4 linked regions of the Drosophila melanogaster genome follow. The protein of the gene in region 1 interacts with the protein of each later gene in a pairwise test. Each region holds a gene or a part of one and is shown in the gene's direction. Other genes may lie near its edges. The genes, in order: RecQ4, nau, chn and CG42674.

Region 1 (7,550 bases):
TTATAATACTATTCAACGCATCATCGTTTCTTTCAGGCAAACAGGCCTTGCTACAAGCCGTTTCCGATGCTATGGCCAGCACCCGTCAGATGGCCAAGAAGTTTGCATTTTGGTCCACACAGCCAGTCACCAAGCTGGACGAGCAGGTGACCACCAACGAATGCATTGAACCGAACAAGGAAATTAGTGAGATTAGAGCATTGCCATACACTCTGCCAGGCGGCTTCAAATGGGTGACACTAGACCTGAACGACGCCAATGATCTCAAGGAGCTGTACACGCTGCTCAATGAGAACTATGTGGAGGACGATGATGCCATGTTCCGTTTCGATTACCAACCCGAGTTTCTAAAGTGGTCGCTGCAGCCACCTGGCTGGAAACGCGATTGGCATGTTGGCGTTCGTGTGGAGAAGTCCGGCAAACTGGTTGGCTTCATCTCAGCCATTCCCAGCAAGCTGAAGTCGTACGACAAGGTGCTAAAGGTTGTGGACATCAACTTCCTATGCGTCCACAAGAAGTTGCGCAGCAAACGGGTGGCTCCAGTCCTGATTCGGGAGATAACGCGTCGCGTCAATCTGACGGGGATTTTCCAGGCGGCCTATACAGCTGGAGTTGTGTTGCCCACGCCAGTGGCCACCTGTCGCTATTGGCATCGATCGCTCAATCCCAAGAAGCTGGTAGACGTGCGTTTCTCTCATCTCGCACGTAACATGACCATGCAGCGGACAATGAAGCTGTACAAGCTACCCGATCAGCCCAAGACGAAGGGCTATCGCCGAATCACAGCGAAGGACATGGACAAGGCCCACAAGCTGCTGGAGGACTACCTAAAGCGCTTTCAGCTGAGCCCGGTGTTCAGCAAGGAAGAGTTTCGTCATTGGTTTACCCCCAAAGAAGGTATTATCGATTGCTTCGTGGTTGCCGACGAAAAGGGCAACATCACTGATCTGACTAGCTACTACTGCCTGCCATCGTCCGTGATGCACCATCCGGTGCATAAGACGGTTCGTGCCGCATATTCGTTCTATAATGTGTCTACAAAGACCCCGTGGCTGGACCTGATGAACGATGCACTGATCTCGGCCCGCAATGTCCAGATGGACGTGTACAATGCCCTCGACCTCATGGAGAACAAGAAGTACTTTGCACCGCTAAAATTCGGCGCCGGGGATGGAAACCTGCAGTACTACCTCTACAATTGGCGCTGTCCATCGATGCAGCCGGAGGAGATTGCTCTGATACTCATGTAGTCACCTTGTCACCTAAGCTCACATTCTCGCCCTGCCTTTCACAGCTCCCCTCCTCCGCTTTCTTCACCCTGCTGGAAGTGCCGTGCGGCTGCTTTGCTTTGCTCCTATTTACGTAGCTATTACCTGTAATCTTCAGTTATTCCAGCGAGGAAAGCCCTTTGCGAGCATACACCTAAATAGCATCATTGTGAAAATTGCATTTTGCAACGGCCAAGCTTCGATATTTTTTACTACAAGAACGAACACAAATTGTATAAAATGCGCAGCAATATCAATAAAAATGTAACGTTTACTTGGACCTTTATTGCCTATAATTGACAATAAATTATTTTGCTGCTCTTTTAAAGATGACAAGTTTTTATTTTTTTTAAGCAGATTATTGTATTTTTGCCCACTGTCCCAGCATGTGATAGTCTGGCCACTCTGTCACATGGCCATTGGTCTGGCAAGGTCGGTGAAAAAGCGCGCGCTAAGCAAAACAGCTGCACTTGTGTTGGTTTATTAGTTAACGAAATCTGATTCCAATGTTGGTTTCCTCATAATATTGACAATTAAAGACAGCCGCCGACATGGACGATTCGGTGTTCAAGCTAAAATACCAAAAGTACAAGTTGCGCGTCAAGGTGTGGGAGAAGGACTTCAAGAAGAAGAATGGCCGTGTTCCATCGAAGGTGAGATTGGGATGCGGATATGACAAGTATGCTAACTGGTTGACCTGTTGCAGTATGATATAAGGGACGCCAGTCAGGAGATTCGGGACTCATACAAAATGTACTACAAACTGAAGACATCCTTCCTGGAAGAGACGCTGAACGATGTTCTCAGCGAAGATGGATACGATATTCTGGAGATGTCGCAGGCCAGTGATTTCGGTGTGAGCATGCTGGACCAGGACGTCAGTCTTAATGAAGGTCCTCAGCTACCGTTGGATATATCTGCACTGGTGGGGCCGCAGAGCTCTGGTAATCTTGAGGAAATTCCACAATCGGTGGAGGGCTCATTCTCAAATCTCATCGACCTGCCCAATCGTCAAGTACTCACCAATCTGGTCAATCGCGATGAAAACCATGTCATTCGCAAATTCGAGGCGGTGGAGGAGCTGCCAATCAACCAAAATGCCTGGGGCTTGAATGTGAGTAAGAAGCCACCAGCTCCACCACAGCCTGTAGAGGCCTCCAAATCCGCTCCGGGGCACGGAAAGCAACCCAAAGCGGGCGCTAGTCTTAAGCCCAGCTTGAGTGCCAAGTTATTCCAATCCTCACGCGGTTTTGCTAAACGAAATCCCCGAAAGCCGCTTTCACGTTGTGTCAGTTCCTCTAGTTCCACCACATCACTTAGCTCAGTTCCTACTGATCATCACGAGGAACTGCTCGACTTTGAGACCATACTCATACGCAAAGCCCAGGAGTACAAGGAGAAGCAGCAGGCCATAGCTAACAATCCAATGCTGGCCAGTGAGCACAGCAAGGAAAGTATCAAAACACTGGTGGACGACGGCTGGCTCCGGCGAAATACAAAGGAAAACACTCTTGATGAAGAAGTGCCCTTTGCGGAAGCAAATAATAACAGTGGTACGTCCAAGAAAACAAACTTTGGCCTGGCCAATCTTGATTTAAGTAAACTAAAGCCCACTGTTAAGGAGGAAAAAGTGTTGCAGGCCAAGCCCGATCAAATGGCAATCATACAGGAGCTGCAAACAGATATGAATTCTAGCATGAACCAGAAACCAGATCATCTTAATCACACACCTCCTGCATCCAGTCAAAAATCAGTCGCTCCTAAAAATAAACCTCCACCTTCCGAGCAGGAAACCGATTCGGATTCCGACTCTGTTGTGGCTGAGAGTGAAGAAGAGCAGGAACCACAAGAATATCGGCAACTATCAAAACGTCGCAAAATTGTTTCAACAGCATCAGGAAAAGTGGAAGTAGCCGCCCCAGTTGAAATTCCCAACAAAGTCGAACCAGAGACAGAAACATTTGCTCAAGAGAATCCAGATTTCTCTGCAGATGAAGACCAGGATGCTACATATGTACCAGAGAATAAAAAGAAAGATAAGGCAAAGCGCAAGCAAGCCGCCGGAAAACAAAAGACCACTAAGCCCAAAGCGGAACCAAAACCGAAAACAGAAAAGAAAGCCAAAGTCAAGGCCGAAAAGAAACCCAAGGCGGAGAAAAAGCCGAGGAACTCTAAAAAAGCCATCGCTGTCGAGCCGGCTCCTGATCCAGAAGAGGATGAGCGCCAACCATTGAATCCAGAAGATTTGAAATACGTGTTGGCCTTGGAGGCGGGAGATATTACCTCCGTTCCGCGCATTAATGTGCAGGATCTAGAAGAAGCGGATGCTACCGCCCAGCGCTATATTAGAACCTTCGCCGCTGGACCCAACCCAGGATTGTCGGAAGGGTCCAACATTCGAGTGGATGAAAAGAGAGCCGCAGCACGAAAGAAGCTGGAGGAACGCATAGCAGCTGGTAAATTAAACGAGAACTTTGTGACCATAAATATTCAAAAGAAAAAATTCGTGCGTGGCAAAAAGTCCGTGAACTTCAGCAAGTACAAGAAGCAACAGTGGCGGCATAAGAAACGAGTGGCTGCCTTGAGTGGGCCGGACATGGATATGGGTGGCTGTGATGGCGGAGTGCTCACGTGCTTCCAGTGCGGCGGAGTCGGGCATTTCGCTCAGCAGTGCAAGGTGAAGGGAGACAGCTTGTTGCCACTTTCGGCACAGCTGGAAGAGGATCCCTCGCCGTTTCCCACGCTTGCCGAGGCTCAGGAGATGGCCAGTCAGGGAGCAGTGGTGGCACACAGTCGCAACATCTCACGGCTGCCCCAAGCGGCCAATGCAGCCATCCTGCAAGGCGATGAGTTGAACGAGTCAGAGGAAGATGACCAAGAAAGCAGCGGAGATGAGGAGGTACAGCAGCATCCAGATCCAAATTGGTCTAGCGATGAAATGGACGTTGATTTCGAGGCCCTAGATGCGGCCGTCGAAGCTTCCCTAAGCCAACCGGTTTCGCAAGAGAAAGCAGCTTCACCTATTAAGACATACGTCGGCCACAAGATTCCCGAGGAGTTCCTCAAGCAGGCTGGACTGGACACCACAGCCTCTAGTTCGAATCGCAGCCAGCACGGTGGGGTGAAGCCCCTATACGATCTCCTTCCGGATGGCAGTGTCCAGGACACGACGCCAGAGGTCCTAGAGGCACTCCACATGTTCGGGCACACCAACTTCAGGAAAGGTCAAGATCGCGCCATCATGCGCACTCTCTCTGGACTATCATCGCTAGTTACACTTAGCACGGGCAGCGGCAAATCTTTGTGCTACCAATTGCCCGCCTATTTGTATAGCCGGAAAGTGGGAGCTATTACCCTAGTCATCTCACCATTGGTGTCACTTATGGAGGATCAGGTGACCGGGGTGCCGCACTTTCTGCGAGCTCACTGCCTGCACACTAATCAGACCGCGCCGCAGCGTATGAAGATTCAGCAGATGATTGCCAATGGGGAGATTGACATTCTTCTTGTCTCTCCGGAGGCGGTTGTCGCCGGGGAACGAGCCACAGGATTTGGAGCCATTCTTCGCCAGCTGCCGCCCATTGCATTCGCTTGTATTGATGAGGCGCATTGCGTGTCTCAGTGGAGTCACAACTTTCGACCCAGCTACCTAATGATCTGCAAGGTGCTGAGAAAGAATCTCGGTGTACGCACAGTGCTGGGGCTAACAGCCACGGCAACTTTGCCAACGCGTGTTAGCATTATAAATCACCTTGGCATATCGGATGGAGAACGTGGTATTATAAGCGACATCCCACTGCCTGACAATCTAGTGCTGTCCGTCTCCAAGGATGAGAACCGGGATGCAGCTCTGCTCCAACTGCTCAATAGCGAACGGTAAGACTTGGCCCACCATCTTTGAAACTTGAAGGAGACTTAAATACATTTTGATCATTCTAGCTTCGAGCCCTGCCAGTCCATTATTATCTATTGTACGCGTCGTGACGAGTGTGAGCGTATCGCTGGGTTTATTAGAACGTGCGTGCAAGACCGTAGGGAGCCAACTCAGGATCAGACGAAAAAACGTAAACGTGTGAATTGGCAGGCTGAGCCCTATCACGCTGGAATGCCCGCTTCCAGGCGACGAACCGTTCAGAAGGCCTTCATGAGCAATGAGCTGCGCATTGTGGTGGCCACCATTGCCTTTGGTATGGGCATCAATAAGCCGGACATACGCGCGGTAATCCATTATAATATGCCAAGAAACTTTGAGAGCTATGTGCAGGAAATTGGTCGAGCAGGACGCGACGGGTTGCCTTCCCACTGTCACCTCTTCTTGGATGCGAAGGGTGGCGACCAGAGTGAGCTGCGTCGCCATGTGTATTCTAACTCCATTGATCGGCATGTTATCCGTAAGCTGCTGCAAAAGATCTTTGTGCCATGTAGCTGTGACAAGGAGGCTTCCAAGAGGACAGCTCTTCCGATTCCCCTTGAAGGTGATGGTCCTAGAGTGCATATGTGTCCGGGACACGAGATTGGCTTTTCCGTGGAGAAAACCGTTGAGATGCTGGACATCCCGGCGGAGAACATATCTACTTTGCTCTGCTACATGGAGCTTGATCCCCGATGGTGCATCAGTGTGCTCAGCTCAGCATATGTGATGGCTAAGGTAATCTCGTATGGTGGGCCAAAGTACTTGAAGTAAGTCCTTTAGACACGTGTATTGTGTATGTGTTTAATGTTATTGGTTTTTCCTTGCACAGGCATGCTGCAAAGGAATGTCCACCATTGGCCATGGCTATTGCTTTGCAGATTAGAGATAAGACATTCAAGGAGGACTCTAACATCATAGAATTCTCGGTCACAGATATCGCGGCAGGAATTGGCTGGAACAGTGGTGTGGTCAAATACCAACTGAAGGATCTGGAGTGGGTAAAAGGTGAGATGGTAATCCGTTCAAAAAAGGATCCGTTTAATTAGAAATTAATTTTTCGATAGTAAATGGATATCCCAAGCGATCGCCCATCACGGTGAGCTTCTATGATTTGGGATTCCGCATCAAGGTGCCGGGCGATTTTACCGAATCAGAGATCGACAACGCTCTGGACACTCTCTATACGCGATCCGTGAAACAGGAGCGTACGCAGCTCATCCAGCTGCAATATGTGGCCCATGGATTGGCTGCTGTGGCCTACAGCTCTTGTGGCCAGTGCTGCAATGCGGATTTTCCGCAGGATCGGGGCGAGCAGCTAAAGGCTATCGTGCGCAACTACTTTGCCAATGACTACCCACAGGATCTGGAGCTGGAAATAGAGGTAATTGCTTGGCAACACATTTCAATTTCTTACTTTTATTGCTTTCCTCTCTGTCCATTAGCCAAGTAACGTGCCGGATGAGAACATCATAGACGACGTTCATGCTCTAATAAACATGTACCCGGACAATACATTTACCGGACGTAATATTGCGCGCATCTTTCATGGCATCATGAGCCCGAACTATCCGGCTGTCATCTGGGGACGCTGTAAGTTCTGGCGTGCCCACGTCAAAGTGGATTTCAATCGCATCCTGCACCTGGCCAATATGGCTATTATCAAGAGGCGTACGTGACCGTAATGTCGGGATGAACCGCCGATACCATGGTTAACCAATTAATAGCTCCAAGAATTTTAAAAATATGTGATGCCATTCAATAACATTTTACTCGCACAAGTCTGATAATACAAAAATAAATTACAAATTCTATATAAACAGCTTTTGTACTTATTATGAGTGGAAAGAGAAATTCGTACGGACAATCTAAATTTTTAGCTTGGTTTTTAAACTCTCTAAATCTATGTGTTTCATTAGCTAATAAATTTGCACCATACAATCCCACGCCAATGGAACAATAACAATTTATGATAATTTCATTGCCGAAAACAACAGAGCACTAAAATAAAGTAAACAAATGCCAAGCTCGTTTAGAGGCAAATTGCAGCTACGGCTTCAAATGAAACAGCAGAAATCAATTCGATGGAGCCCGTAAAGAAACAAACATCCGGCTGAGTCATTCCCAATAACATCACGAAATGTATAACCCCGGTCGAAGGTGTCATCTTCAAATCGAAGCCTAGCCAAAGGTCGTCCTTCCTCAGTTCACACGAACGCGAAGCAAACAACCCAACAAATGGGGGGATCTAACAACAACTCAGGGCACAGACAACTGGAAACAGAGAAACATCATTGAAGTTGTCGGATCAGCGAAGCGTTTGATAAAGGTTTTTTATGACTTGGCCATTTTGTGAGGCCTTTGGCTTCTCG
Region 2 (8,032 bases), on another chromosome or scaffold:
CCGGAACCAGGTAACGTTCTACCAACGTCCTGTGGACAAGCTCCGCCTCTTTATCGAATGGCATATGGCACAGCGGCGAGGCCAAATGAATATCCTTGGATGGCCATGCTTATCTACGAGAATCGCAGACTATCGACCATGACCAACAACTGTAGTGGCTCCCTGATTAACAAACGCTACGTCCTCACCGCTGCACACTGTGTGGTCAAGGATAAAATGGTGAACACAGATTTGGTGCTCAGGAGAGTGCGGCTGGGCGAGCATGATATTACCACCAATCCGGATTGCGACTTTACAGGAAACTGCGCTGCCCCCTTTGTAGAGATCGGCATCGAGTATTTCAATGTCCACGAACAATATTTCAACACCTCAAGGTTTGAAAGCGATATCGCCTTGGTGCGTCTTCAAACGCCAGTTCGGTGAGTATTGCAATATAAGGCATCATTTTCTGACTATTATGAACCAAAGTTTTTATTTCCTTAGATATACCCACGAAATTCTACCGATTTGTGTGCCGAAAGATCCCATCCCCTTGCATAATCACCCATTGCAAATCGCCGGTTGGGGCTACACGAAAAACAGAGAATATAGTCAGGTGTTGTTGCATAACACCGTTTATGAAAACAGATATTATTGCCAAGACAAGATATCGTTCTTCCGCAACGAATCACAAATCTGTGCTTCTGGCATTCGAGGAGAAGACTCCTGTGAGGGTGATTCCGGAGGTCCCTTGATGTTAACCCTTAATAATGATTACCAGGATATCGTATATCTGGCCGGTATCGTTTCATATGGAAGTGAGAATTGCGGAGATAGAAAACCAGGTGTTTACACAAAGACTGGAGCATTTTTCTCATGGATAAAGGCAAATTTGAAGCCATAACTTTCTTGCTAAGGAATCTCGACTAGTGTATGGTGTTTGTTAATATGTGAATGCATTTTGTTTGTATGAGTGAATGTGTTTTTTTTGTGGATTATGGAATTATGGAAAATTCAATCAAGTAGCCAGTAAAATCAAATATGCACATAAGAATGAGTTTTAATATGTATTTTATTTATTTGATTAAATTAATAACACAATAAATCGAATTTACTTAATGATTTTGATTTTTTAAACGTTCTTTTCTGAGTTACATTTGTGCGTTGACAGTACACTGCCCGAAAACAAAGGCCGATAATGATTAAATTTACAATTGGGATTATCGTGTGGCACAACAAATAGTCTTTGCCACCAAAATACCATCAGACCGAATCAAAACAAAGCATCCATCAAAGTACGGCAAGATGGAAAATGTGAGGAGAAAATACGAAATGGAAAAAGACGAGAAGGGAAAAGTGGAAAAATGAAGATGGAAAGTGCTCGAGCAAACCACGGTCCTAAGACAAAAGATTTACAATATCGCTGGGGAAGATTTAAAGGTGATTTCCAAAGATATATATTGTGCCTGAGCAGCGATAAATAAACACAATTCTTTGACTATTTTTATTTCGGCCTCTCCTATTTTATTTATTTTTTTGCTCAATTTCTCGCTTTTTTCTCGGCCGTTGCAACTATAACTCAATAGAAAAGTGGCTGCCATTGATGGGATCTGTGGACGGGGGGCCGGATTTTCCACTAAATGTGTCACATTAACGAATTGTTGAGCTCCCCGAAAGCTAATTTATGCCACCACCTCCCCCACCAACCCACACTAATCGCTGGCCAGGTAAAATTCAATTTATTTGATTTGAACTAAGCCTTTCACAAACACGCTTCACATTGAGCGGAAAATCGCGTTGAAAACTCACGAAAATTAAAAAAAAAAGGGGAGGGGCGTGGCCTGCGGCAGCGTCCTTCTGCCTTAGAGAACCGCCAATGTCGTCTAATGGCGGGGCGCCTCTAAAAATAGGAACCACTCGAGAGCCACTCAGCCACTCAAAACGCAGCAGCATCCGCACTCCGAGAGGATCGCGAGCACATCTGGGGGCCCACGATATCTTGGATTCTTGGATATTGTCACCAAATGTGTTGCGATTGCGACGGAAGGCGGTACACACACTCGCGTACGGTCCGCAAATCGAAGTCGAAAAATATTTTTGAAAATGTCGGAGGTTTTTACAAAGCATCATTAAAGTGTAACCAACTAATTAAGGTTCTATTTTAAAAATCCCGAAAGTGAAACTATAACAAATTAAATTAAATAGAAACCACAGCCTAAAACTTGTGTGTAACCATAACTCATAAATTTGTGTTAATGACCTAGCATACCTAGAAAAAGAGCTTAAACCACGTTAAAAATGGTAATAATCAACTGACTAAATTAACTGTGCCATCGTAATTAGTATCAGCAATTAAATTCAGCAACTTGTTGAACTACCAAAATTGTTTTGTAAAATATAACAAAATCGTAGTGAAGTGAAAAATGACCAAGTATAATAGTGGCAGCAGTGAAATGCCTGCGGCTCAAACCATCAAGCAGGAGTACCACAATGGCTATGGTCAGCCGACACATCCTGGATACGGATTTAGCGCCTATAGCCAACAGAATCCGATAGCCCATCCCGGCCAGAATCCACACCAGACACTGCAGAATTTCTTTAGCCGCTTCAATGCCGTCGGTGATGCGAGTGCGGGAAATGGTGGAGCGGCTTCCATCTCAGCCAACGGATCGGGTTCGTCTTGCAACTACAGTCATGCGAATCATAATCCGGTTGAGCTGGACAAGCCATTGGGCATGAATATGACACCGTCGCCCATCTACACCACCGACTACGATGACGAGAACAGCAGTCTCAGCTCCGAGGAGCACGTCCTGGCGCCCCTCGTCTGCTCCTCCGCCCAATCCTCCAGACCATGCCTCACCTGGGCCTGCAAGGCGTGCAAAAAGAAGAGCGTCACCGTGGACCGTCGGAAAGCGGCCACTATGAGGGAACGCCGGAGACTGCGAAAGGTAGGCATCCCATGCTCACATTACACACATTTTCAGATTTATCAAATATTAAAAACATATTGTGCAATAACTACTGATACAAATACAGCACTTTCATCTTTCAATCATTCATTAAAAGAATGGTTCACTTTAAAAGTAGATTTTTGATTCATTCAATTCATTATTATAATAATAACTTAAAACTGCTTATGGGGACTTGAATATAGGCATACCACTCAGAACTCTGTTCAAGAGTCCTTTTCCATCAGCAGGCTTATTAATCCTCGGTCGATCTTAAAAATAGATTACGCCACAGTTCGCAAGTCCCCTGCGTTTAAGGACTGCAACTTTGTAGTAATTTCATTAGCTCGGCTAGCACCCCACAAATTAACACATCGCCACCAGGGAGGATCGGATCCATTGACATAACGCGCAGAAAGGGAAACCACCCAACATGCGTAAAACATAAACATTTGCCAAGACCAAGAGTTAAACAGCGGCATTTATGAGTTCGACGGTCGTAAAAGTTTTGGATGAACCACACGTATTTATAGCTCCACATAGAGACATTAGTGAAAGGCGGAAAATCGTGGGAGCTCCGGTTAGAAGGGGTATGGTGATGGGGGGCTGTCATAAAGAGACAGACGACGGGCGAACGGCTTAATTGTTGAAAATTTTATGCTCTATTTAATTTAAAATATGTTTTATTAAAGAGCCACTTAAAAGGGGAACACGCCGCGTGTTCTGTGTTTTTATGGCACGCCTAATGGATTTCCATGATTTCAACGATGGCCATTAATTGATTATTATTCCGTTCACATTCTAGGTTAACGAGGCCTTCGAGATCCTCAAGCGACGCACTTCATCCAATCCCAACCAGCGCCTGCCGAAGGTTGAGATATTGCGCAATGCCATCGAGTATATCGAGAGCCTGGAGGATCTGCTACAGGTAAATGAGTGAACTCATCTCACCGCGAATAGAGAATACCATTGGTTAAATTGATTATCTTAGGAATCCAGTACCACACGCGATGGCGACAACCTGGCGCCCAGTTTGAGCGGCAAAAGCTGCCAGTCCGATTATCTGGTAAGTTTTGTCCACTAACCGCCAATTAATATTAAGCCCACAATATCGGCGCGTATATCGTTCCGCAATTATTTTCTCGTAAAATTCTCATGCATGAGCAGCGCTTTCGTACATTTTTCTTTGGCGACGCGCACATTCATCAAAATCTCAGGGTCTGGTCCGTCGCAATGGCGAACATGAAAATAGAATATGTATACGGACGGATCCCCGAAAGAGTCAGTCCCCAAACTGTATCTGATATCTGTTGTATCTGCTGACCGGAATTTATGCGCTCGCTGACGTGCTACTTAATAAGCTACGCCGGCAGCCCATCATCCACATTTCTGAATCACATTCACTCGAAAACCGGGAATATTATGAGTTATGATCGAGAAAGTTTGCCCAGATGTGAGGGGAGCAAACTTTTATCAAAGGAACGGGGGAAAAAAAATTTAGAGGAAAAATAGCTGGAGAATTTAGGAGAATTTACAGGGGAAAGGGTCGTTGTCTGCATTTAGTGAAAGGCAATAAATAAATTTTCTTTTTATAAGCCCGAATGGAAATCGTGTTGTAAATTAATTACAACAAATTCGTTGGAGCAGGAATCGGCACCAGAATCTTCATCCCCATGTTTGGTGGATTGCGACGATCGCTTTTCTGTTTCATAATAGCTTCCCTGCGACGTGGAACCAAAACCGTTGTGGCAGTTGACAAATTGCACAGGAAAAACATGACAAGATCTCGGGGTGTTCTTCTTCGAAAGGTGTTGCAAGATATGGCCAAGTCGTTGGTCATTGAAGGGAAATGAAAATGAATGAAAAATGGGGGGGGGGGGACGGGAGCGGGTTGTACATGCATATCTACTCCCGAATGACAGGGCAACAAATTGTCAACAATTATGCAAACATTTTTGCCATCATCTTCAACGCCCTCTTTTCTTTTCATTTTCATTTGACTTTCGGGTTGGCCTGCGCTGAGTAATTTCCATGCAGTTTGTTTAAGTTTCTCACAATTTTAATGTACAAATTTGTTAATTTACCATAAAACTTAGCGTATTTGTATGTTGACTGCGCCCCCCATTGGCAGATATTAATGTGCGGCCATAGTTTGATTAAAAACTGGCATAGCGCCAAACGTGCAGACATTCAAATGCATCTCAGACCCTGGCAATCCATCCATCTCATCCATATCCATTCATTTGGAGCCCGTGTATTTATAAACCTCGGCGACTTAAGTAAAAGATTTCCTTTTGAACTGTTTCCAACACGAAATGCGAACGCTAAGTTGGCCCATAAATTTCCTTATCGCCGCCAATAAAGTGTAGTACTTGCGATATACAAAAGTGCCACCTTGTCTATATCAGTCAAATTTCTACGTAATGAAATACATAGCCGCAATCATTGAAGTCTTAAGATAGAGCTTTTCGGTGCAAATGACTCACGGAAAGATGTGGGTAACGTGGGTGCAAACCATCCATTTGGACAGTGAGTCAGGATTGATCGGATTCCCTACCATTCAGTTTTTAAACTATTATCAGGTACAGATATGCTACCGAAAACTTTTGTTATCTTTGAATAGCTTTACAGCTACACTATTAGATATTTTCTACGAATGGAAAGCAGTTTATAAATGATATTGCAAATTATTGAGAAGAGATAATTGGTGTGATTTTTATGGTCTAACCACCACTGATAATCTTTATCACACGTCCCCGTTTCAAAAAGTAACTTTTTCAGTTTCCGAGAAAGATTGATTAAATAATTCCGAAAATAAACATCAACATTATTTGCATCTTATTAAAAATGTAAATACATATCTGGCAAGTAGTTCTTGCATTTTTTCGGTGATATTTCCGAAATGGATTATGAGATCTTACGACTGACCGCACAACTCGCAGAGAAGTGGCAATATTTTTAAAGTGGGTTTAGTATATTAAAAGCATATTTCATGGTAAAAACTCATGCAACTTATGGCTAACAAATCGCATAATGCCGCATATCCGTTACACGCTCACAGATCGGAGGAGAACATCTAAGGGGAACGCGCCAAAAAGCGGCTTAAAATCTTTACGCAACCGAAGAATCGGAATGCCCAAGTGATAAGTGGCATTTCATTCAGATACAACGCATGATATATGCTCAAAAAAAAAAAAATAAAATAAAATACACCGAAATACCATAAAGACCTGCAAACAAGTACACAGAAAGAAGTCGGGCATGTCTAAAAATATATTTCGAACATGCTTGTTAAATTGAGAATTTATTTCCAAAGAAATTTTTCAATATTCGGTATTATATTGTCATATAAATAGACTTTATTGCTTTTAACCCAGTTGTGCTATTTTTGTGTAATTTTTCCCAGTGTATCCGCTTGCTGACTGCGGCATATCGAGCGCAGGCTGTCACTAAACGCTTGAAAAAAATGATAAATCGCTTTATAAAAGTGCAGTGTGAGTTCATCTGCTCTCGTTCAGTTTAGTTCACTTCACTCGGCTTTGAATGCTATTCTGTTGTTTTATCACTCCGTACTTTGTTGTCCGCTAAATATAAACAGACGTACATACATATAAGCCATACGGGATGCCCTGTATTTGTCGATCCTTGCAGACGAAGTGACGGCACTTTGGATGCACCAGATGCGGATTTGGGGGGGGGGGGGGGGCAGCAAGGAAACCCACCCAGAAGTGGCAATTATAATTTGCTTAGCATCGGCGTTATAGCGAATTTTTCTAATGAAATCCCGACCGAATCTCCGGATGCCTTGTCTGTCGTCTGCGTATGCGCAAAATTAATTTAATTGCCTCTAAAGTGCACTGCACACAATGCCCCACAATGTTGGGGCAGACAATGGGTGTGGTGCGGTGGTTCAATGCGTTTTAATTGGCCTGTGGAATCTCTTTACTGGCATAAATTTTGGCTTAATCTCATCATTAGACTGCATTCTGTATGGCACTCGTTGGCCAAGTTGACAGGACCGGAGCAAATTTGACGTTGTCATTTCGACGGCGACACTTTTCTGTAATTTATTGTTTCCCCAATTTCGCTTGAGGCCAACTAAAAAAAAAATATATGATTTTTCCATTTGTATTTATTTATGTTTTTCCTTGCAGAGCTCCTATGCTGGCGCTTATCTAGAAGATAAACTTAGTTTTTACAACAAACATATGGAGAAATATGGTCAGTTTACAGGTAAAAGTAAAAAAAAAAAAGTATTTGATGTATTTATCTAAAATATTTTTGTATAGACTTTGATGGCAATGCCAATGGCTCCAGTTTGGACTGTCTAAATCTGATTGTTCAGAGCATCAATAAGAGCACCACGAGTCCCATTCAAAATAAGGCCACGCCCTCCGCTTCAGATACCCAATCGCCGCCCTCATCCGGAGCAACTGCACCCACTTCTCTGCACGTGAACTTCAAACGGAAGTGCAGCACTTAGCACTTAAGTATCAGCACCTTAGGCAATTGTAAAGCTATTTTTAAGAGGATACACGAGATACCCAGTGACCCGAATAGGCCTTAAATTATTTGTATAGCATTAGAACTTAATTAAATGGTAATTCAAAACAGCAACTAGAGTCGTCTTACTTAATCTAGCTCCAATTTGCGGAAGGAACCGCTCATCCCGTCCAGTTCTCCATTGGCCCAGGCACTGGCCAATCCGACGCGCAGTTTCTCATTAGTACCATACTGGGCATCCTTGGCCAGATAATCCTTGCTGTCCAGCAGCTTCTGGCGCCAATGATCCACTGCCTCTGCCTGATAGCCATTGGTGCCACCATACTCGATGGTCATCACATCTCTGGGCAGGTGCTGGTACAGATCCTCCGACTTTTTGTGGACCACGAACTGTGTAGAATATTGTAGAGATTAATTACCAATCCTAACGCAATTCAAGCTTTTTGATGATAGATTCACCTTGAAAGGCAGTTTGGAGGGCAAAAACTTCGTTACAAAATTGAATATGGTTTGTCCCTCCTTGCGCATATTGATCATATGAATCTCAACAAATCGCAGTGGTATGCATTGGTCCACCAGAGCAAATGCCTTCTTCAGCA
Region 3 (4,898 bases), on another chromosome or scaffold:
AGGCAACACGAAAAACCGAACAAAAAATTAAACAGTTAAGTAGGAAAAATGCAAGAAAAAAGAAAAACGCTCTTGTTGTTGGTGACGTTGATTAAAAACTTTTCGAGACAGTTGACGTTGCAGAAAATTCTCAAAAATGGAGATGAAAAATCCTGTATTTTGGTGTGTGTGTGTGTGTGTTTTTGTTTGCGTGTGTGAGTGCAGCTGAAGAGGCAACTGTAAAATTAGGTTAGCAAAGGAGTTTTGGGGTCTGTGGTGTGGGCTATGGGTTATATGGCTGACTATGTGGTCACATGTGCAATTTGATTAAAACTTGGGTGCCGCTAAAAAAAACTGCTGTCCTCAAGTGACGGAAAAAGTGGACGAAAAAATGACGAAAATCTAAAAATGAACGTCGTCATGGCTAAGTGGTAGCCATTTTTTACCTGCAATCGTTTTGCCACTCGACTGAATGGTTTTGCGGCTAGGGCAAAAACATAAAATCCGCGAAAATTAATTAAAGATTGCGCACCTTACGCTAATCTGTTTTAATGAAATTCCCTTTTATGTTTTTTCTTGGCCTTTAAAGTGGAGTGGGTCATCCTACAGATGAATAAATCCTATTTTTTGTCTGCAATGTTCTCTTTCAATGTATCATGTCAGTACTATTTAATTAGTATTTTATTATTAATGTATTATGCAAAGCTGCTGGCCTTCTTAAAATAAGTAGTACATTGTACTAATAAACCAAGATTATAATATTTTATATATCGAGGATTAAAACAGTTTTTGTTTGGCAGCTTTTTGGCAAAAAATTATAAATACGAGTGAGCATTTTAAAAACATTTTACAAATTGACAGAGTTGGCATGACTAAGCATTGTACATGGCTATAATCCAGTGAATATGTTTATTGATCAAATAAAATTAATCAAATAACCGTATGTAGAATTCTAGGTGGTAACTTAAACTCTACAAGTGTAGCAATTCGGAAAGCAGCTCCAAAATAGTTCGCAATGGGTTAGTGACACAGCTAATATTAGAAGGTAGTAATCGTGTATGATGTAATGTAAAATTATTGTAAAATGGAACCGGAAATGTAATTTTTAAGGAGGATTGCAAATGAAATTCAATTTCAATAGCATTCTATGTAATGGAAATTCTTTTAAGCTTAACAAATGAAAGCTTAACAAATAAGAAAATTGGTCTTTAAAAATCATATGTTGTTGTTTAATTAGTCAAATAATAAATTCAACTATTATTATACTTACAGATAATTAAAAAAAATAAATAACTTAAGAGATTTTTTGCTGTGGCCTTTTTTCCGCGCTGAATACAATTAATTCGATGTTTTCGGATGTTTTCGGCGCGACTATCGATAATACCCCGATACTGACAAATAAAAAATAAATTATTTTTTTATTTTAATATACTCTTTCTTAATTTAAGTCAATTAATAAGTCTATTTATATATTAGAATCGTTTTTTTAGCTTAGTGACAAAGTTTTGCCGGAGAGTCCACTTGTTATGCGTGGGAGCGTGAGCGTTGCGGAATGCGCGCGCTTTTTGCAATTGTGGAAAGCGGAAAAGCGGAGGGGTGTCAGAAGAAGAAGCAGGGCGGCGCAGACAGGAAGCTTTTCCCACAATTGCACAACGTCGGAGAGGTATTATTATTACGCGACAGGCAATCGGCGCGGCAACAACAGCAAACTAAGCAACGCATCGCAGACGCAAAAACAAAACTAAATATTACAACATATTTACTTGGCCCAATAGGGGGAGGGACGGGAAATTTTCCGCCCAACCCATCAGCCACCCCAAAAGAGTGGGTGGCGGAGAATCGCCGTAGGATCCGCTCCTCCGCGACCATTCATATTCATTCAGTCACGAAATCTCATTCGGTGTGTGAGTGTTGATGAGGTTAGTTGTGAAACGCGGTCCGTTCTCGTTAAGTCGGAAAACCGAAAAGTGCATCAAGGAAATCATTTAACAAATCAGTGAAGTAAATTAATTTCCAGCTGCAAAGGAGAAACACAAACCTACTAAACAGTGTGCCGCGCGAAAAGAGGCGAAAAAGTGTTGCATACTCCGGGGCTGGCTGCAAAACCTCCGCTAACATGTTGGTAAGTTGGTGAATAAAATATTTTAAAACAAATCGGATCAGAGTAGCATGGAGTATCTATTAATTGATTTTCCTGGGAGGGGGGGCCTTTCCATATCTATTTTCCAAGCCAAGTGATTTATTGATTTTTCCGCAATGCGTTTGTGTGTGTGTGTGCGTATCTTTTTCGGTATGCACTTTTTCCAGAGAAACATCCCACTGGGGGCAGCAACCCCCAACTAAAAAGCGCCAACTTCTATTTTTCCTTCATCAATACTTCACACAAACACACACACGCACACAGTGGAATAAAAACAAATGGTATTGGTGTGTGGATTGGAGCAGGCGCTCTATGCAACGGTATAGCAACCCCCAAACAATGCACAACCCACCCTCTTTCTCGCTCTCGTTATGGCTTTGAAGGGTATTACTATCCCGCTCTCGCGACAATAGCTCAACTGTTTTGGCATTTGAAAACTAACTGCCGCCCCCATCCCCCCGCACCCACCTATCGTAACCCCCTTAGTTTCTCGCTCCTGGGTGGGTGGTTGTTTTTCACAGCCGGAGCACATCATAAATTTTGTGTCTATAACAATTTTTGTTATATTCAACCACCCCACCCACCTACCCACCACCCCAAAAAGCGACCCACACCCCTTATCAAAAAAGTGCAAAGGAATTGTGTTGCACTTTCGAGAGTTCAACTTCCGTTCGTTCACTCTCGCGCTCTCTGGGAAAATAGAAAATAACGGCACAGGCTTGCGCTCTCTCCAAAGAGAGAGATGCATTTTCATTTCGATTCGATGGGGGGTTTTGCATATGATTTTTTGGGGTTTCGGTTTTTATGCAACATATGCGACTACATATGTATGCATATGTATGTAGGAGTTATATAATTTGTATTTGATTATTTTGCCTTTGACGAATTCCGTTTGTGGCATGGTGTTTTCAAATGAAAACTAAAAATGTGTGGTTTTTTGTTGCCATGGGCAATATGGTGAAAATTTGTGGGTGGCAATGTCTGCTGCAGAATGCAAATAACTGCATTCGAGTGCTTTATATATATATTTATATATATAAGATTATATTCCCACGCACATATTTTATACATTTATATATTATATGGAAAATGCAATTTGTATGCAGTCGAATTGCACTTGCCCGGGATTATGCCTATATAAATAAATACTATGTACGGGGTAGGGGGATACCGGCAACGGAATTTCGTTTCATGGCGTCTCCATGGATTATATATAGAAATTAGTTGTGTTTTTGAAGCTGCTTACATAGACTGACAGCTTAATTGCTTTTTACTCGTCGACAAAAATTGATTTTAAGCTCGAGTTAAACGAAGCCAAGCACTGGAAAATGCCTAGAATGCAACGCATATTCCTTTAGATTGGAAAGTAAAGGGGTGGAAAACGGAAGCAGACTATAAGACAAAGTTAAGCAAGTTCGTTAAGCAATAACAACTAAGTGAGTTCGTTAACCCAACAATACATGACAGCATTGTTGAAAACTTTGACTAAAATTGGAAATCATTATATTAGCGATCACTTTCTTTTATTTCCAAAAGAACCTTATGTACTTTTTGAACTTGATTCTTTGGTAGTCACTACATAACATGAAAAAAGCGTAGCGATCATTTGATTTTATTCTTAGCCGCAAACTGACTATTTCCTGTTGACTTCATTTCATTCACACTCCCCACGCTGATGATGATGATTGAAAAAATCACCCAGGGGCCAAGACCCAGTGACTCACCCGACCGCAAGGCAAGCCAAGCGGAGACTGTACCCAACCCAATGCTCAAAACAAACCCAGTCTCGAAAACGCACACACACACACACACACTACCCACCCACTCAGACAAAGTGGATTCGAGTTGGGAGTTCGGAGGGAGTTGCGCATGCGTGGCCGTGTCCCACGCCCACTCGTCAAGGGGTGTCTCCACATAGGAAAAACATTTACGGAAATCTAAAGATTTGCTCTTTGAAATTATGTTAGAACTCACTTGATCTATAGGAAGTCACAACTAGTACTACATTTTCATTGTTTGAATCCTATATCAACGGGATATAACAACATATAGGCAACGTATTATAACAAATGCCTACATAGACAGTATGCAAATTTGTACCAATAATGTCCCCTCTTTTTTCTCTGTGCATGTTGGATGTGAGATAGTGTACGTATATAAAGGGTTGGAGCGAACTATACAGTGGGAACCAGTGATCGCACAACCACCCCCGGGGTTCCCAAGTTAAATGAGACGTGACAAAGTGCAAGAGTTTCGACCCCTTTGAGAAGTGCCAGGCAGATTTCCTCTTCACAAGTGGCGCCCAAAATGGGAAGCCCTATTCCAGCGAGGAGACTTTCTCCCAACTGCAAAACCGAAGAAGGGCTTCGTCTTCAGGGGCAACAGGTTTTGCTGGCCGTAGGAAGCCATGTGCTGCTGTAATTGGTCAGGCTCATTACGGGGATCGTTGGTTATATCACAGCTTGCACCGGGCCAAGGATGGACTAACGGGTCCACCCAGGCCCAGTGAGCACTGCCTCCGAAAGAACCTCTCAGGGGGATTCGAGGTGGCCCACATGTTGTCCACTGACGGCTGCTCACGAACCGGTTCCAGTCACCAGGCAGCTCCTTTATCCGCGATCATCATCATCTCCATTTCCATCACCACCATCATCATCATCTCCTTGGCCGGCCACTTCCACTTGAGTGGCAATGAAGGCAAAGTAGGGTGCTCAGGCTGCTCCATTTCGAGGGTTAACCTGTTTGCAGTTACCCTACGGTTGAGGTATGTGGGTTTCAG
Region 4 (4,707 bases), about 12 Mb from region 1:
AAATGACTTTACAACAGATACAGAAGACGGTGGATAAGATAGCAAGCGTTATTTGGTTTTTGCCTAAAAGTTAGCTATATATTTCGCAAGATTCGGTAAAAGCTCGATTTGTGTAATTTAACAGTAAAGAAATATATTTTAAGACTTCCATTACCGAATTATGCTGCTCCGCCTAATTTATAAGACTTCAATCCGAATCCGCACAAAAACTGTATTTATAAGATACAAAGTGTTAACACATAGTAAAAATTGGTAAATAATAAATTCTCATTAAAAATTCAACTTTCGGAGCTTTTATATAACTGTTGGTATTTGCCAAACGTGGACTTATCCAAAGCTATGAAACTTATAACATCAATAACTTCTATTAATCTATTTAAAAATTATGATTCAACCTTCTAACCCTTTTGAAATAAGATCATATAATAATTCAAAATATAAGGTAGGTCAAGGCAATAGATTGCCGTATCGTTTTTCGGGCTGAACTTTATTTAAAAACTCATAGATGATGTCATCCAATCGGCATACGAACTTTGAAAGATTGTCCCTGATCTCGTCGCCCGTTGATCCGTTCGTTCATTCATAAATTATCCAAAACCATGTTGTTCAGCTTGATTATGTTGCAAATACACATATGTACACTGTATGTACATTCATATGTACATATGTATGTGTTCGGTGCTCATAAACGTTTGTGCGATATGTTTGTCTAATTTAAATTTAGCTTCTAAGGCGGTCGGGCTCAATTAGGGCTGCTTTTTGGCTTGAAGCTAATCGACGTGCCGTCCAGTAATTAATTCAGACAAACTCGTTGGTTGGAGTCGCGTGACTCATTATAAATCGCAAAATGGCAAAGTGAAAAAATCTTTTTGGGGTTCTGGGCAAAGTAAATTCAGGAAAGTTTTTTAGGGATATACATGTGTGTGTTTGTGCTTAATTTAACATTTAAAATGCAAACAAACTGCGCTAATCAGCTCAATCGATGAGATCGATGCCCTGGTTAATAAAGAAATTGTTGTTTGGTGAAATGATTGATTTATGGTATAAATGTTAATTAGTTACAAGGCCTCCGCTTGCCTATTTAGCCTTGAACTTTGCACATAACTGAAGATACATATATACATACATATGTACATATGTATGCGAATTTATGAGGGATGACCTCAATTATCTTTGAGCCGGAAGATAAACATTTAGAACCTTGAACTTGCTAAAGGTAGTACTATTAGCCTAGAAATTTTACGACATTCAATCTTTGGTTTTAAAGCATTTCGGAAGATTACAATGCAATTGCATTGATTGTAATCCACAACAACACTTCTTGCTTTCAAGCTAACGGCGCAAATTTAAATTTCCATTTCAGTCCAACTTCGTTTCTGATGTGTCACTCTCTTCCGGCTCTTAATTTAGTCTTGAGTCTTAAACGATTGCTTAATTTATTTCTAAGTTCGTAAAGACATCTGTTAATTATTATTAAGGTAGCACACTACTGATACCCTTTAATAGCTGTTAATAGCTTATTTTTGATACTCTGCCTGCAGCACGAGTATCAGCTGATGGTGCGCGGCAACATACACACACACACGCACGCACGAAGTTGAAGAGAGCGGTTAGGTGAACTAACTTAGTTCCTCTCTTTCCCGCTCTCTTTGCGCCAACGAGATTAAGCTTTTTGTACCGGCGATCGCTTCAGCTTTTTCAGTTGAAAACAAGTCACCCGCGAGCGGTGTTCTTTTTGCGCGCCGTTCTGCGAATAGTTTTATTTTGATTTTAGCCCAACTTAATTCGTTCCATGCGACTTTTCCTTTTCGCGAGCGGTAGTGACGTCGCCGTTTTTTGGACAATTGCGCACATATTAAAATCGCGAAGAAATAGGGGTTGTTGTTATTGTTGTTTGGCCGGAGACACGCGTCGCTTTTCCGCGTGTCTTTTATTTTTGTGGATCAGCGGCCACCTGAAAGGCGCCATTTGAAAAGCCAACAGCTGTGAGGCAAAAAAAAAACAAATATATGCATATACGTACATATATATTCAAGTGCAAAAAGCTGGCGTTGCTAATAGAAATAAATAAATATAAAAGGCAGAATAAACGTGCAAAGCGGTGCGTAAGTGTGTGTGTTTTATGTATTGCGCAAGCAAAAGAGAGCGCGTTCTGTGTGTGTGCGTGCGTACCTGAAAATATACATATAACTTAACTTGATTATTTTCAGTTTTGTTAGCAACAACAACAAAGAAACCGCTCGCTGAATAAGTCTAATTTGAAGTGCATTTCCTTTGTGATTGAAAAGATCGCTCCAAACTCCAAAAATCGAAATCGAGCAAGGCCATACGTATATATACTGATATATACGCATATATACACATTTATTCGTGTGGATTCAGAGCGCAAGCGTCGCGTCGCCATGCAAATGTTAATGAAAAACACAAACCCCTAAAAATCGACTTATCAGCTTAAAAAACATCACTAGATTGTCACTCAAAATAAAACACTATTAAAAAACCAACAAATCAGCAAAGAGCAAGGAAATCAGGCAAGTTCCTTAAAAATAATGCAGTTTATACGTACATATGTAAATATAGCGAAGAGCGACCTTCGTCACGAAACTAATTTAACTTAAAAACTGATAAGACCACTTGATTCGCCAACTCTTCCTCTTCGCGATTCGCCCTCTCCTTCTCGCGCAGTATCAGCTGCGATCCAAAACAGTGGACGGGGACGTTCCGACATTGCATACCCTGCAGTAAGCTATAAACTTCCTGCAGACTTGCTTTAAATGTATTGCTAAAGTGATACTCTTAATTCGGGAATTCTTGATTTTGTTGGTGTCCACTATCAACACCCTTTTTTTTTTTCTTATAATTGTTTGCTAACTGCTAATTATGAATCGACCGGAAACGAACCATCAGAAACATACAATAAAGAATTTATGTTGGTTTTTATAAAAGTGGTTATTCTTTTGCTTACTGTTTAGTTCCGATTCTATACAACCTTTTAAATAACATTATTATGACACTCCTCTTTGTATTTATGTTTTCATAAGCAAAGGTGCGATTCAGTCTAAAGGTGTTCCCATTTTCAATTTTCTTTAAAATTGTTTGTTATAGGTAGTGTGTGTGCTATGTTTCACAAAAGTAGCCAAATACATTTTTTGACGAATTTGTGAAGTTAATGGATTTAAACGACGTGCAAGCTCAAACCTGTCGAATTGCACGGCAACTTTCCAAAGTTCATGTTACTAAACTTTCGAGAAAGGACATTTGAATTAAAATGTTTTATCTTTGGGCCTAGTAATTACAAGTTATACATATATATTTAACGCATTCTGTACAGACCGCTTTTGTGAAAAGAGCTCTTTCTGCGAATCATTCATTTTATCATTCGTATGTACAGTTGTGTTGTTGAGATACCATTCGAACTAACCTAGTACACCTAATACACACTCTATGTCTGTCAGATAAAGAGCTGTACACGTGCTGGAGATGGCATATCTGTCGTTATCAAAGGCGGCTAATCTAACGAGTACGTGCGGAGGCTACGAGCTTCGCTTGGATTTATGTAACATTCAAAGATCCAAAATCAGGGGGCTGGGGACAGTTTTCACTATCCAGCTTTCGTTATCAAATGGTGCTGCACAATGCACCGAGAAATATTTTGTACTCATCCATTTGGTGGCGTAATTGGCTTTGGGGCCGAACCACTCGGTTCGATTCGTTTCACAACCGGTTTGGGTTCCTGCAGTTAACACTCATCTCAAACTGAAAGCGGCATCGGGGGTACACCTCACAGGAACTCCATGCACCCAGCCATCAATCACCTATACAGTCTAGCTTTTATAACTCGAACCAAACTGAAGCTTGAGTGGTTTGTCGAAGATCTTGAGTCCACAGAATCGCTTTACAGGAAGATATCAGGAAATTCCAAAAGCTAGAGAACATTGTCATTCATCATTCCACCAAATAAAATGTATTTCATATTTTTCGATAGTTCAAGCTAGGGAAGCTTGCCTGTACGCGTATGTGCACTCGGACAACAATGCGTTGTCAATGAAAGCCGCAAACTGGTTTTGGCCTAGGAGAAGCAACGCAAACGGTAGTGCAAAGTTTGCTAAGGAAAACGATGTGATCTCGAGCAACATATACCCAGAGTGTCTTAGGTATCGCGGTATTAATTACCATAGTAAACAAAAAGAATCGCGCCAGAAGGGCACCCAAAATAATATTTACAAATTTTGTTTTCAGCTACATGATAACTTAACGCGTTGCTCACTATTCAATTTCAGGCAGCTCATGTATAACCGAATAATAATAATAACATATAATGTTACCTTACCATCACGTGTTCAGCAAAGTTGCTTAGGCAAAGCAATAATTATGTTGATTCTGTTGCTAAAATGATATAATTGGTTATTCATAATGGTTGTATGACAATTATCTGCACTTTCGAGTACCATCTTTTTCCAAGTGCCACCAAGTGTGTGCAACTCTCTCGTTCCGCTATCATATCAATTGTTTGCAAGGTAAATTTGATCAGTCAATTGAAAAGTTGAGTCTGCACTCATAATGGGGTTTGGTCCACCCCGAGGTGGACTCTTCGCACCGCAGCGATTGGCATGTGGTAACGCAATACTCGATCGGAGAGACAAATAACTCGAACTAGCGTCGAACGAGAATCAATACCAAGTGAATCATAGCATCAAATCTGGTTAG

What was found.
Region 2: the proteins of RecQ4 (region 1) and nau interact in a two-hybrid assay, tested with the Drosophila melanogaster proteins (one large-scale study listed by BioGRID).
Region 3: the proteins of RecQ4 (region 1) and chn interact in a two-hybrid assay, tested with the Drosophila melanogaster proteins (one large-scale study listed by BioGRID).
Region 4: the proteins of RecQ4 (region 1) and CG42674 interact in a two-hybrid assay, tested with the Drosophila melanogaster proteins (one large-scale study listed by BioGRID).

What each region holds. Positions count from the first base shown.
Region 1 is NT_037436.4:8,170,126-8,177,675, reverse strand, and holds RecQ4 (RecQ4 helicase), read left to right. Parts: upstream 1-1,697; 5' UTR 1,698-1,819; coding exon 1,820-1,921; intron 1,922-1,974; coding exon 1,975-5,144; intron 5,145-5,207; coding exon 5,208-5,948; intron 5,949-6,010; coding exon 6,011-6,186; intron 6,187-6,245; coding exon 6,246-6,562; intron 6,563-6,623; coding exon 6,624-6,857; 3' UTR 6,858-7,036; downstream 7,037-7,550. Other genes in the region: Nmt (N-myristoyl transferase), read left to right, coding at 37-1,250.
Region 2 is NT_033777.3:23,712,327-23,720,358, reverse strand, and holds nau (nautilus), read left to right. Parts: upstream 1-2,001; 5' UTR 2,002-2,402; coding exon 2,403-2,930; intron 2,931-3,735; coding exon 3,736-3,858; intron 3,859-3,921; coding exon 3,922-3,996; intron 3,997-7,045; exon of another isoform or gene 7,046-7,084; coding exon 7,085-7,163; exon of another isoform or gene 7,164-7,219; coding exon 7,220-7,413; 3' UTR 7,414-7,545; downstream 7,546-8,032. Other genes in the region: CG10232 (uncharacterized protein), read left to right, coding at 1-419, 484-883; CG10300 (uncharacterized protein), read right to left, coding at 7,563-7,823, 7,893-8,032. UniProt on the Drosophila melanogaster protein: May play an important role in the early development of muscle.
Region 3 is NT_033778.4:15,113,588-15,118,485, forward strand, and holds the start of chn (charlatan), read left to right. Parts: upstream 1-1,873; 5' UTR 1,874-2,101; intron 2,102-4,898. UniProt on the Drosophila melanogaster protein: Probable transcription factor involved in the development of the adult pattern of macrochaetae. Required for accumulation of achaete (ac) and scute (sc) in proneural clusters.
Region 4 is NT_037436.4:20,195,306-20,200,012, reverse strand, and holds the start of CG42674 (uncharacterized protein), read left to right. Parts: upstream 1-1,695; 5' UTR 1,696-2,531; intron 2,532-4,707.